Drosophila melanogaster: one gene and its partner. The protein of the gene in region 2 purifies or fractionates together with the protein of the main gene of each other region. This does not show direct contact. Each region holds a gene or a part of one and is shown on either strand. Other genes may lie near its edges. The genes, in order: bsf and CG13126.

What was found.
Region 1: the proteins of CG13126 (region 2) and bsf purify together in Drosophila melanogaster (affinity purification with mass spectrometry, with the first as the bait; one large-scale study listed by BioGRID). This does not show direct contact.

What each region holds. Positions count from the first base shown.
Region 1 is NT_033779.5:18,448,858-18,456,299, forward strand, and holds bsf (bicoid stability factor), read right to left. Parts: upstream 5,731-7,442; 5' UTR 5,630-5,730; coding exon 5,490-5,629; intron 5,061-5,489; coding exon 4,535-5,060; intron 4,469-4,534; coding exon 3,160-4,468; intron 3,104-3,159; coding exon 1,382-3,103; intron 1,319-1,381; coding exon 777-1,318; 3' UTR 660-776; downstream 1-659. Other genes in the region: Ntf-2r (nuclear transport factor-2-related), read left to right, coding at 5,910-6,302.
Region 2 is NT_033779.5:9,951,345-9,955,877, forward strand, and holds CG13126 (uncharacterized protein), read right to left. Parts: upstream 2,838-4,533; 5' UTR 2,750-2,837; coding exon 1,766-2,749; intron 1,704-1,765; coding exon 1,414-1,703; intron 1,355-1,413; coding exon 1,237-1,354; 3' UTR 728-1,236; downstream 1-727. Other genes in the region: CG4709 (uncharacterized protein), read left to right, coding at 3,170-3,190, 3,252-4,169, 4,230-4,533.

The DNA of each region.
Region 1 (7,442 bases), 8.5 Mb from region 2:
GCGTTTATTTCGAGAAATTTTCAGGGAAAACAACGATGAAAATTATTGGGCAGCAAAAAACACAACGCGGCGATAGAATTAGAGATGGGACACCAGTGGCGACGGTATCGATATACACATGTGTTTGACTGCTAAATCGTATCGAAATTGTAGTTTCGATAGTCAGCTATAGAAATGCTAAATGTGTTTTTTAAATTGAACTGAAAATTTAAATTCAAGTTCCACATTAGAAAAAATGATATTTTAAAATTAATTTTATAATATGGCACTATCGTAAATTTTATAGCACAGCGAACCTCAATATTTAAGGGCAACGATTTTTTTACGACTAAAACAGTGTAATATATTTGTTATAACATATTTGGTTCATTGCACTGCAGAAATTTCGAATATCAGCTCGAAAATGGAACAAGGATATGGAACAAGAACATTAAATTTGAAACGAAACTTTTTTTTTTTAGCGATTTTTGGGCTCCAAAACGGGCAATCGTGTTTTACAACATCATGCGTGCTTCCAATTAATTTTAGGATCTGTCTTAAGGGAATGAATTGAACCATTATTTTATTGAAAATTAAAAATGATAGCTTCATCTTGAAAATAGTAAAAAAGATCCTTTATCGCTCAGTTGAATCCCCTAGAAAAATAACTGGCGCACTTTCGCAACAAAACAACTAAATTTATTTTAGTTTACAAATTGTTTATCCATAGTAAATACTTTAAAAATAAGCTTTAATCACGACGGCCTACACTAAACAAGGACCTTTTGCAGAAACCTCTAGGCCTTGCTGTCCGGTTTGGGTGGAACAGTTTCCGGTACCGATGGCGACACGTCGTCGTCGCTGGAGGATGAAGAGGAGGACGAGCTGGAGTCGTCGGCCTTCGTCCGCTTCTCGGGGATCGTGTAGGGGAACTTCTGGGATTTCTCCTCCACCGCCTGTTTCAGACGCAGCAGAGCTGTCCTGTTGATGTTTTCCAAGGATACGTCCTTAATGGCATTGGCCAAGACAACCATGGCCTTGTCGGAGTTGCCCTTGGTAGTCTGGATGTCAATGAGGCAGGAGTACGCGTTTCCGATCGCGCCCTCGGAGATTTTGCTGTTCTTCAGCTGGGAAATGACTGTGGAGGCGAGCTTCTCGTCCTGCTGCTCGCGAGCCGTCTGCAAAACGCGCTGGAACATCAGCCTTGGGGCATTGGACAGGTGCTTATCCCAAATCTCCTTAGAAGCCGCCTCCTGGCCAGTGGAAATCAAATGCATCCACAGGACATTCATGGGTCCTAGTTGATTGTGAGCAGCAAACTTCTCAGCGAGGGATTGATCTGAAAATTATCAGAAAAATTTATAGTTTTAACACTTGTTTAATAGGCATTTCTGGGACCTACATTGCGGCACCAATTCCGGGTGTTTTTCCAAAATGCCAACTGCTCCTCCGCGTGGGAACTTCTCAGCCAGCTTGGTTGACTCCTCGGGAGTTTTGGCCGCATCGATTTCTGTGGTCAAGTGCTTCAGGAACTCCTCCGCCTTTCCGGCCACTATATTGGCATGACAAAACCGATTGTCAAAGGAAATCAGACGCTTCTGCTCGTCATTCAGCTGCTGGCCAATTCTCTGCATTGTTTCCAGATCGCCTGCAGCGGCAATTTTGTTCAGGTAAAACTTGAAGATCTTGGGCTGCGGGTGCAGTTTATCGCCCAGGAGCTCCTCGACATACTTGGTGGCCTCCGTTAAGCGATCAGCTCGAACCAGGAGCTCGATCAGTCGAGAGGTGTCCAAAGCTCCAATTTTCTCGCCACTCAGAACACTTTGTTTATGCGAGATGGCTGCATCTGGATCATTGGCCTGGATTGCCTTGCGGAAGCCGGACAAATGGGAGGCGGTTTTGGGTGGCTTTGCTGTTTCCGTTTTAGCTGGCTCCTTTTTCGCAGCCTTCTCCTTGGGCTGTTCTGCTACTTTAGCTGTTTCTGTGGCTGCTTCTGTTGTCGTTGCATCTTTCGCTTTGCTTTTTTTGGCCTTGGCTTGTTCGTTTTGGGTCTCTGGCACCACAAAAGGCACGTCAATATTTTTCTTACTCAGGATTTCTGCCAATTTCAAAAGGAAAGCATCGTTTGGTGTCACATTCTCCTCCTGCATTTTAGTCCACAGTCCCAAAGCCTTCTCCGCCTCATCTGCCTTGTCGTAGCTCAAGAGGAGCGTGTAGTAAATCTTATTCCTGTCGATATGTCCCAGGTCCTTCGTGGCTTCAATAAGACCTTCCAGCGGTTGCAGTAGTCCCTCATTCTTGTAACGATCACAGGCACTGTTTATTCTTTGCGGACGGGTACGCAGTCCGGGGGTTTCCAGGATCTTCCTGGCCTGCCGCACACGGCCGCACTCCACAAAGGAGAAGACCAGATCGTAAAGGCTGTTTACTTCACCATGGATTCCAGTGCTCAAGTCTGTTAACTTTTGCAGATTGGCAGCATCTTCTTTCTGTATTAGACGGCAAGCCAGCTCGTTCTTCCAAGGCGTGGACTTATACTTCTGGCAAATCTCCTCGAAGGCTTCGATTGCCTTGGGAATATCATCCTTGACCAGGTGAACCTTGATCAGTGGACCCAGCAGCACATTGGTGGGCACAATATAATTGGCCCCCACCAGTACGTCGAACAATTTGCGCAGCCTCTCCGGCTGACCGGCCTCGGCTAGTGAGTTCAAAATTCTCCACACGGTGCTCATGTAATTATAGCTTCCTTCGGCCTCGGCTACGGGAACTTCCTTCTTGTTCTCCTCCAGTATCTTAAAAGCAGCATCCACGCGTTCCTCTTGCAAGAGAAGATCAGCCAGTCGAACCGCCTTCAAGTTATCCAACTGGAAAGTGGCGTCCTTTGCTTTAAGTTTGCCATAGATTTCTAAGGCCTCAGAGCTTTTCTTGTGATGCGTGTTCAGATCGATGAGCTGGGCATAAATGCCAACGGGGATTTGGAATTTTTCGGCCTCGAGTTTCTCGATGACCTGGAGGGTCTTCTCCAAGTTTTGCGAACGGAAACAGGCGTTGAGGAGTTGCCTCTTGATGTTGTTGGCATTTTCTCCCTTGCCCTCCACATTCACAATGAATCGCTCGAGTTCTGAAAGAAAATATATAGATATTAGATAAGTATTTTAATAACATCTAACAACTTACCATTGATGGACAGCGAATCCAGGCTTCTCTTGCCGCTGTTTGGAAGAGGAACTGGCTCCAGTTCTCCCGAGCTAAGTTTACCCAGAAGTTCGGAAATCTTTGGAGTCAGTTCGGAACCCAACTGCTCGGATAGTTGGGTGGCTTTGTCACTGCTAATGGACAAGCCCTGCTTGACCAACCCTTTGAGGATTTTCTCCAACGTGGCCCCGCGATCGCGGCGGAAATAGGTGGTTGCCTCCTGGACTATTGCACCTACAACATCGGGAGTGATGCGCTCCGTCGGAACGGCAGCCACGCCTTCTACCTGCTCAACTTCCTCATCCTTGCCTTGCCTGAATTGCAATCCTTCGTGAATTTGGCGGACACATCGGATGAAGGAGGCATAATCGTTCGTATGGCTGAGGGCCAGAATCAAAGGTTGTTTGAACAAGAAGGGCACGTAGTAAGCTCTGTTCTTCTCCATAATCTTGGCTGCTTCGGCAATCTGGTGGGTCACTAATGCGGAGTAGACGGCCGAGGTGACAGCAGTGGAGTTGGGAACCCCAGCATCCCTCAGAGAGGTGACGATTCTTTCCCAGTTCTTTTCCTTCAAGTTGGGAATGACATAATCTCTGACCGTTTCGGAGTTGGGGAAAACTGAGAACTCCTGCTGCATGCGACGTACGATTTCCAAGACTTGATTAGATTCCGCGGAACAGATCAAAGGCCAGAAGTAGTGCTGCCTGATGGGCAAGCCAGCATTTTTCATTTCCTGCAGCAAGGGAAGCGCATTATTGATTACGCCATTGGTCAAGCCAGCTTCGGTGGCAATAGTCAGAGCCTTGGGATTAAGCCCCTCTGATTGCAGGCTCTTGCAGATGGACAAGATCTTCTCCACTGGCCGATTGGCCTTAACCATCTGCCTGATGAAGAAAGCTCCCACATCAACGGGCTCACCGTTCACACGACTGCTCCTTGGCATCACGCGAAGGAGCTTCAGCCCCACATCCTCGTGTCCCTTGTTGACCAGCCGAAGGATCACGTTCACTGCATCCTGATTAAAACCAGGCGAGAGACGAAGCTTGGTCAGAACGTCATCCACGTGTTCACCATTGCCGTTGACGGTAAGAGTGTACACAATGTCCAGCAGATCCTTGTCCAGCAAAATGATCTCCTTCTGCTCACACTCAGCTAGGGTTTCCTTTACGGCAGCCAGGTCTCCGTGGCGCGCAAAGGCGCACAGGAGAGTGGTGTAGGTGTCAGCACTGGGCTCCAAGCCGGCCTGCATCATCACTCCCAAGATACCCTTGGCGGACTCCAAATCATTGGCCTAAAGAATCGTTTAAAAAGTAATTTAAAAACATGGCTACCACCTATCTATTTCTGTATGACTAACCTGCGAGTGACCCAGGATAAGTGAATTAAAGACATTTTCGTTGACGGGTAGACTTTTGGCGCGCATGAATTCCAGAATCCTAGTGGCTCCTTCAATGTCTCCCTGCTGACAATAGCGAGCAATCAATCGCTGATAGGTCACCCTATTGGGCTCGATGCCCTTCGCCTCGATCTCTGCCAGAAAATCGGTGGGAGCAAACCCATGCTCGTTCTCCAGGTAAACGCGAAGCAGGGCATTGTAGTGCGAGATGTCCATGGGTACATTCAGCGCATTCAGCGTCTTCCAGATCTCCTGCACCAAGGCAGTTCTGACCTCGGGAAGCTCCTCCGGTACCAGGTTGCCGCAGCAGCGAATCACCAGCAGCGATTGCGAGCTGGTGGCCGTCCTGTGTGAGCGGATCTCATCGAGCACCTCCTCCAGATCGCGTCTGGAGATGCGCCCAATGCGACGAACATCCTGGTCCAGCCGGCGAATCTGTTTATCCAAACTCAACTCAGCTTTGGCCGCCGCATTCGTGGCAAAACCACTAGGAAGATAATTAAAAATAAACTTAATTAATATATAAAGATATATGAATTAACAAAATCCTAACGTCCTTATAGATTATTTTCCGGCTGACCTTAATGAGAAACTGAGTTGTTATAAGATAATCGTGTTGCTTTTTGAATAAAAATAAGATATTTAGCTTCTTTCTACATATATAACTAGACTTTCTACAAGAAAAACGCTCGACTAAGGCCAAAATTGGATGAGCACATAGTAGGCGCTCCAAATCCGGATGAGGTTATGTAAATATGTGAGACATCAGTCGAATGCAACTGCGATGATCCCAAGTGGCGGCACGTGCGCCTCTTTTCGGGATTCAATCGCTGGAAAGTGGACGATTCCCCACTAATCACGTAAATACATGAGCACATTGCGTAATGCCGGCGATTTGGGGCCAGATTTTACTCACTTTTGGAACTGGCCGCACATGCAGGGCGCATTGTTCAGCAGATTGCTCGTCTCGTTCTCGCGAACCGAGTTCACCAGCACATTGCGTGTGAAGCCGGCGAAGTAGCGCAGCAGTTTGCCCGTCCTCAGGATGGATGCCATGGCGGAATCGTTCGGTTTTAATTAATAAATGAGCTTATTATTAAAATGACGTTCGCACGAGTGCGGCTGAAACCGATGTCTCTTCGCGCCTATCGATGTTTACCTGCGACAATCGATTGTTTTCGGTGGGACCAAAACGTTCAAATCAAATGTATCAGCTTAGCGGTGACACAAACGAGAGGATATTTGAACAGTGCCTAAGCCTGTCAGCTTAACCGATTTAATTTGCTTTTTTTCGGATCGGAAACTCTAATCGTACCCCGTATATACTTGAACTAAAATGTCTCTGAATCTGCAGTACGAGGACATTGGCAAGGAATTTGTCCAGCAGTACTACGCCATATTCGATGACCCGGCGAATCGGGAGAACGTGATTAATTTCTATAACGCTACCGACTCTTTCATGACCTTTGAAGGCAACCAAATACAGGGAGCACCCAAGATTCTGGAAAAAGTTCAGAGTCTGAGCTTTCAGAAGATTGCCAGAGTGATAACCACAGTGGATTCGCAGCCAACTTCCGATGGCGGAGTTCTGATCATCGTCCTTGGAAGACTAAAATGCGATGACGATCCCCCACATGCATTCTCGCAGATCTTTTTGCTGAAGCCCAACGGAGGATCCCTCTTCGTGGCTCACGACATCTTCCGTCTGAACATCCACAACTCTGCCTAGGAGCACTCCAGACCCATATGTACACCACACATAATCGACATCCAAAGACGCCCAGCGCCTAATAGTGATAACATGATAACAACAGCACGGCAGTGGGACTCAGAAAAAAGCAAAACAAAGCCAGCCAACGGTCTCAAGATCGTCAGCGAATACAAAAGTTAATACAAGACAAACAAAAAAATAATTAAAAAAAGCTTAGGACTTTTATTTTGAAAACTTTTTCGAGAAATAAAATAGAAACAAATCTTTTCCCAATTCACAAATAATGGGTCACATTGGAATTTTGAAGCAATAGTCTTTAATATTTGTAGTCTTCATACGATGCATGTTTTATTCTAGCTTAATTTTTCGGAGCTGTCTTTGTGTTTGCAATGCCAAAAGTGCGCTGTAAATGCACCGCAAAGAAAGAGAACAATCCACCTGACTAAGAGAAACTGCATGCTCCCTATTCATTTGCTGCTATTGCGGAGCGTCATTTCTGCAGCAGACGCCGCCGTTGACGTCGGCGTCGACGTAGCTTTCTTTTGTGGCGAATTTGGAACTGGAAATTGCATTTCATTTGCAAACGTATCGTTGCACACGGCGGTTCGCGAATCGCGCTTCCTCTTCCCGCTGCAGCTGTGTGCGTGTTGTGGTGTACTCGTATTGGCAGCGCGTATGTGTGTGCGTAACTACACTGCAAATTGTGACGGATTCTTGTGTTCCTCAGGGGGAAATAACTTGCGTTTGACAGGTGCGATCTAGTGTGCCGTCTCAAAAATGAAAAAAAACGATGTCTGGTTGCATTCTCTATTTGCGCCACTGGTAAGCGAGAAAATTGATTAAAATGCACATTACAAAGGGGGAAATATATTTTAAAAAAAATATGTAGCTTAAATCTTAAGTATTCCCGTGTGTGTGTGTGTGTGTGTGTGTGACAGAGAGAACGAGAAGGAGAGAGAGAGAGAACGAGAGAGTGCAGCCAGAAATTGCAATACACACAAACAAATTGCCACGCAAAAAGCGGCCGGCTTGCCCTCCCCCTTCCCTCCGCCATTGCTGCCCCCCCCTTCGTCCATCCCTTTGTATGTGTGCATTGGATGCACTTGGTGCGATTCATTTGCTTTTATTACCATTTTTGCCCGTCTCTCCACTCTTTTT
Region 2 (4,533 bases):
TTTTAGAAGCAGCAAACCCAATCTCTCAGCCAAGAGCTAAAAATAGAGCTAGTTAGTTGATAATAATTTAACTAGGATCAGCTTAAGAGCACGCAGAGTAATGAACTTTTTAGATACACAACAAACTAGCCTATAGTTTAATATATATATATAAATATCTTAAAAATTACTATACTTCAAACTAAAGACGGACATTAATTATTCAAAGGGAATTTATTATATAACTTAAAATGTATATAAAGATGAAAAATTCACTATCAGCCATTATAGTACAAGATTAGATCAATGAGTTGCTCTAAATGAAGTTTAATAGAAGAGTATAAGCCCTATTATACGAAGTCTCACAGGATAGTCCCTTGTTATGTATCCACGGCTCGTTGCTCTGAAACACACCTTGTTCCAAAGCCAATCCCTAAAACCCGATGTACATGGAAGTAGTCCTTCCGCACCCACTCCCCTTTCCATCGGCTAGCCACATTTCGCGCCCCACATTTTGGCCTTTTCCAACCACATAATGTCCTTTGATGGCACACAGGACTTCGAGGTGCGATGAATGGCTACGGGGATGATCCGCGGTCGTTAAAAGGGCGCGTCTCCCATTAAGACTTCGAAACTCTCATAACTAAATGTCAGCCAAACTGGGATTGGCTTACGAAACGCAGATATTCAGTCCAGACATTTCGACTAAGAAATCTATTATCCCTAATTAAAAGACAGGAGACTCTTTGATTTGCCAAAACTTGTATTTTGGCATTTAAATATATATTTAACAACATTATTGTACAAATGAAATACGTTTTTAAATTCAAGACTTAAACCTAAAACGCATAATGAAAGCAGTATGTGTATGGCACCTATATGTATGAACACTGGGCGTGCTGAAATCGCCGACCAATGGTCAGCCCAAGGCTCCTATATACAGGTGACATTATATAACACAACGATCCAAACCGGCGGGGCCAACCCATCCGCAGTCGCATCCGCCTTTTGTCTTGCCATACATTAAAATCCAGATGAGGGTGTGTTGGCCGTTGAACAAAATTTAGTATCAATGAGCATGCTCGCTTGCCATTTGAATTGTATGGTTAACTTAAATGCAACTGTTTAATTAAATTCAGCTCCACCCGCAACGATTTGTTTGCACATAATTAAGTCAACTAATTGGATGCCAGTTTTAGTATCAATTAGCTTCAGGTCGTGACTTTATGCCTAATATAATTGGTTCAACATCTTAGACTACGCCAAAACAGGTGGTTCCTCTGATTCGATTGATTCTTGTTTGATTTGCGGCTGTCCCAGCGACATAGGTAAACGATCACCCCACCGACTCACTTTTGCACAAGAATAGGCAGACCTGCAGAGAAAATACAATTGCTTAAGAGGAGTTTAAAAGCCTTTTGTGGTTCTACTTACTTTCCGTGCTTGGACTTCGTGAAGATAACCTCTTGGAGAGTGCCCTTTTCTGTGCAGAGCCGACAGATGGCATGCTTTGACCTTACCAAGGTGGGACGCACAATGCGCGGCCAGGAGCTTGAGCTATCGGATTGGGAACCCTTCTTCAGGATGGCATAACTGTAGAGGGAGGTGTGACGGTCTGCCAAGAAGTCGCTACCCAAACGCAGGGGAGCGTAGGAGATGGGAAAATTGCAGGGCGTTCGATCGGCCAGATCCCGAAGTCGAGGACAGACCAAATCATGCGGACACTAAAGGTATGTATAAATAAGTTAGATTACTACCCTTACATCGCAAATACGTTGAAACTTACTGGTGCCACAGTGTGACCTTCTTGTTCCTGTTCCAACAAAAATTGCCTAGCCTCGTTGACTAACTCGCTGCCACGGCGCGTTCCCTCCTCCACAATGACCAGGTAACCATCGCACTTCCGCCACAGATTCCGCAGCACATCCTCCCGCTGCTCTTTGTTCTCCAACTCAAAAAGCGTATGAGATATAATGACCAGATCATAATTGGTTTCGATGGCGGGCAGGAACTGTCGATAAAATACATTGCGCAGGGCTATTTGCTTGTTCTCATGGCCATCGCGCAGAATGAGCTCTGATATCTCATTCATCTCCCTGGACCTGTCCACGTTGTAGTACTCGAATATGTGTTCGCGCCACAGTTCGCTGGCCACCCACATACCGGTTCCAATGCCGGATCCGAAGTCAAAGAAGCTTCGTGGCCGAAACTGTTCATCCCGCTGCGCCAGCTCCGTGAGAACGCGCTTCAACACGGCGTACTCCTGGGCACCACGAGCTATGGCGTACACAAGCGACTCGTATGCTCCATATTCTATTCGCTTCCAGGCGTAGATACGCTGACCCAGCCTCTTGTTGATCTCCAGCTCCCGCTTGCGCCTCCAACGCTCCGCCTCGTCTTCGTCGAGTGTAGCTAGGCGATCCAGAGGCATCTTCGTGTTGACCTCTTCGATAACGATGCGTTTCTTGTTCTCAATCTCTTCCAGCGTGGGTGGTGGATGGCGGGATTTGATATAGGCGTTGAGCTGCTGGCCATCGTGGATTAGTTTTTTGACGGGATGATCCCCCACGATGCGCTTTAGCGTATCATTCAATTGTTTCGGCAGTTCCACATGATTGGGTCTCACTACTCCGGGATGTTTTCTGGGCTTCAGTGTGGCATGTTCCAGGGCAGAGACCACAGCTGGTTCAACGTCCACTGCAATCTTGCTGGTGAATCGGTGCAGTCGTGGCACTAGATTTCTCGTTGTGAAATTCAGTGAAAAATTCATATTAAATTCTAATTAGTTAAGTAATAAGTAACCGAGAAATCAAAACAAATGAGAGCCACACGAGTTTACCGGCGATTTGCCAGTGCTGTAAAAGTTCCAGTCCCATCAGCTGACGGTGCTGCCAGACGTTTTGCCTCAATCACAGATTCGGCTATATTAATAGCATCTTTTTTCTGTTTGAGTTAACATTTAATAGAATTCTTAATATACATATGTCTTAATAATAATAATTTTACTACCTTCAACCATATAAGCAATTTATATAAATAAATTTAAAAAGCAACCAAAAATAGTCGAGAAAACATAACAATTGAACAAAAAGAGTACTATAACCGTGACCTCTACTGTGTGCTTGCTCCTTAGAATCTGAAAACAAACTTGCCATCAGCACTATGTTGTAAATAATAAATTTAAAGAATAATGGAAGAATACGAAGCACAAGTGAGCAAAGGTGATAACATGAGATCCCAACTATTTTTATGAAAATACTTGCATCAAACAGTTGCTCGTTGTGGAGCAGGCATTGGAAAATGCCGCGGATGATGCGCAACGCCAGGATCTTTTGGCCCTAAAGAACAATCTGCAGGAGCTGTTGGCCCTCACCCGGGAATCAGGAGATGAAGCACCAATCGATGAACTACCTCAGCAGGGCGACAATCTGGATGATGAGCTGCAGCGGCTCAAAAGCGAACTTAATGACCTAGAGGCGGCCGGCTCCTCACAAACCGCGTTGGATGAAGAACGCCAGCTGGCTGACTTGCGAACCAAGTACACCGCCATGGTGGGCGAGAAGTGCTCCGCACCACACGAGCACAGTTGGGGCACCTGCTACCACAATGCCCTCATCTGCGGAGTGGACGACGAGGTGGTTATGAACAGCGAAGGCGTCTTGGATGCTCGACTAAGGGTTCTCTTTACGAATCCCACGCATCGAGAAATGCTGCCCTGTTCGTATTACCTCGAAGGCGAGTGCCGCTTTGATGAGGCCAAGTGTCGCTTTTCCCATGGCGCCCTTGTCACCGGTAGCTCCATTAGAAAATATAATCCACCCGATTTCCACAAACTCTCCCGCAGTCGTCCAGTTTTTGCCCTGCTACCAGATCGATTGTGGCATCGAGGTCGTGTCCTTTGTGTAAATTTCGTAGAGCAGATATGCCGCGTCCGCTTGGATGGGCAGGATCACAAGGAGCGGGAACGAGACTTCAAGTTCGAAGAACTGTATCCACTTACCACCGATCAGGATGAGGATGACGAGCTCTCCAGCGAGGAGAGCAACTCCAGCATGAACGACAACAGCAGTGACGAGGCGGAGTCGGATATGGATGATCTGGAGGAAGCTAGAAGAGCACGCATGGTCGAGTTGAGTTTGTTTACCTTTAAGCCGACGGAACGACTTGGCGCCTGGGAGGAGTTCACACGGGTATGTTGAGCAGATTACGATTCAGAAAACTTAAATTCCTATAAATACTATTCCCTATAGGGCATCGGCTCTAAGCTTATGGAGAAAATGGGTTACATCCATGGTACTGGTCTTGGCTCAGATGGAAGGGGAATCGTCACCCCGGTAAGCGCCCAGATACTTCCCCAGGGTCGATCTCTAGATGCCTGCATGGAGCTGCGTGAGGCCGCCAACGGGGACAAGGATTATTTTAGCGTGGAACGAAAGCTAAAGCGCGCCCAGCGACGACAGCGAAAGGCTGATGAGAAGGCCTACGTCCGTGAGTCACAACGTGTGGATGTCTTTACATTCTTAAACGACAGTGTTTTGGGGCCTGGAGAAAGCA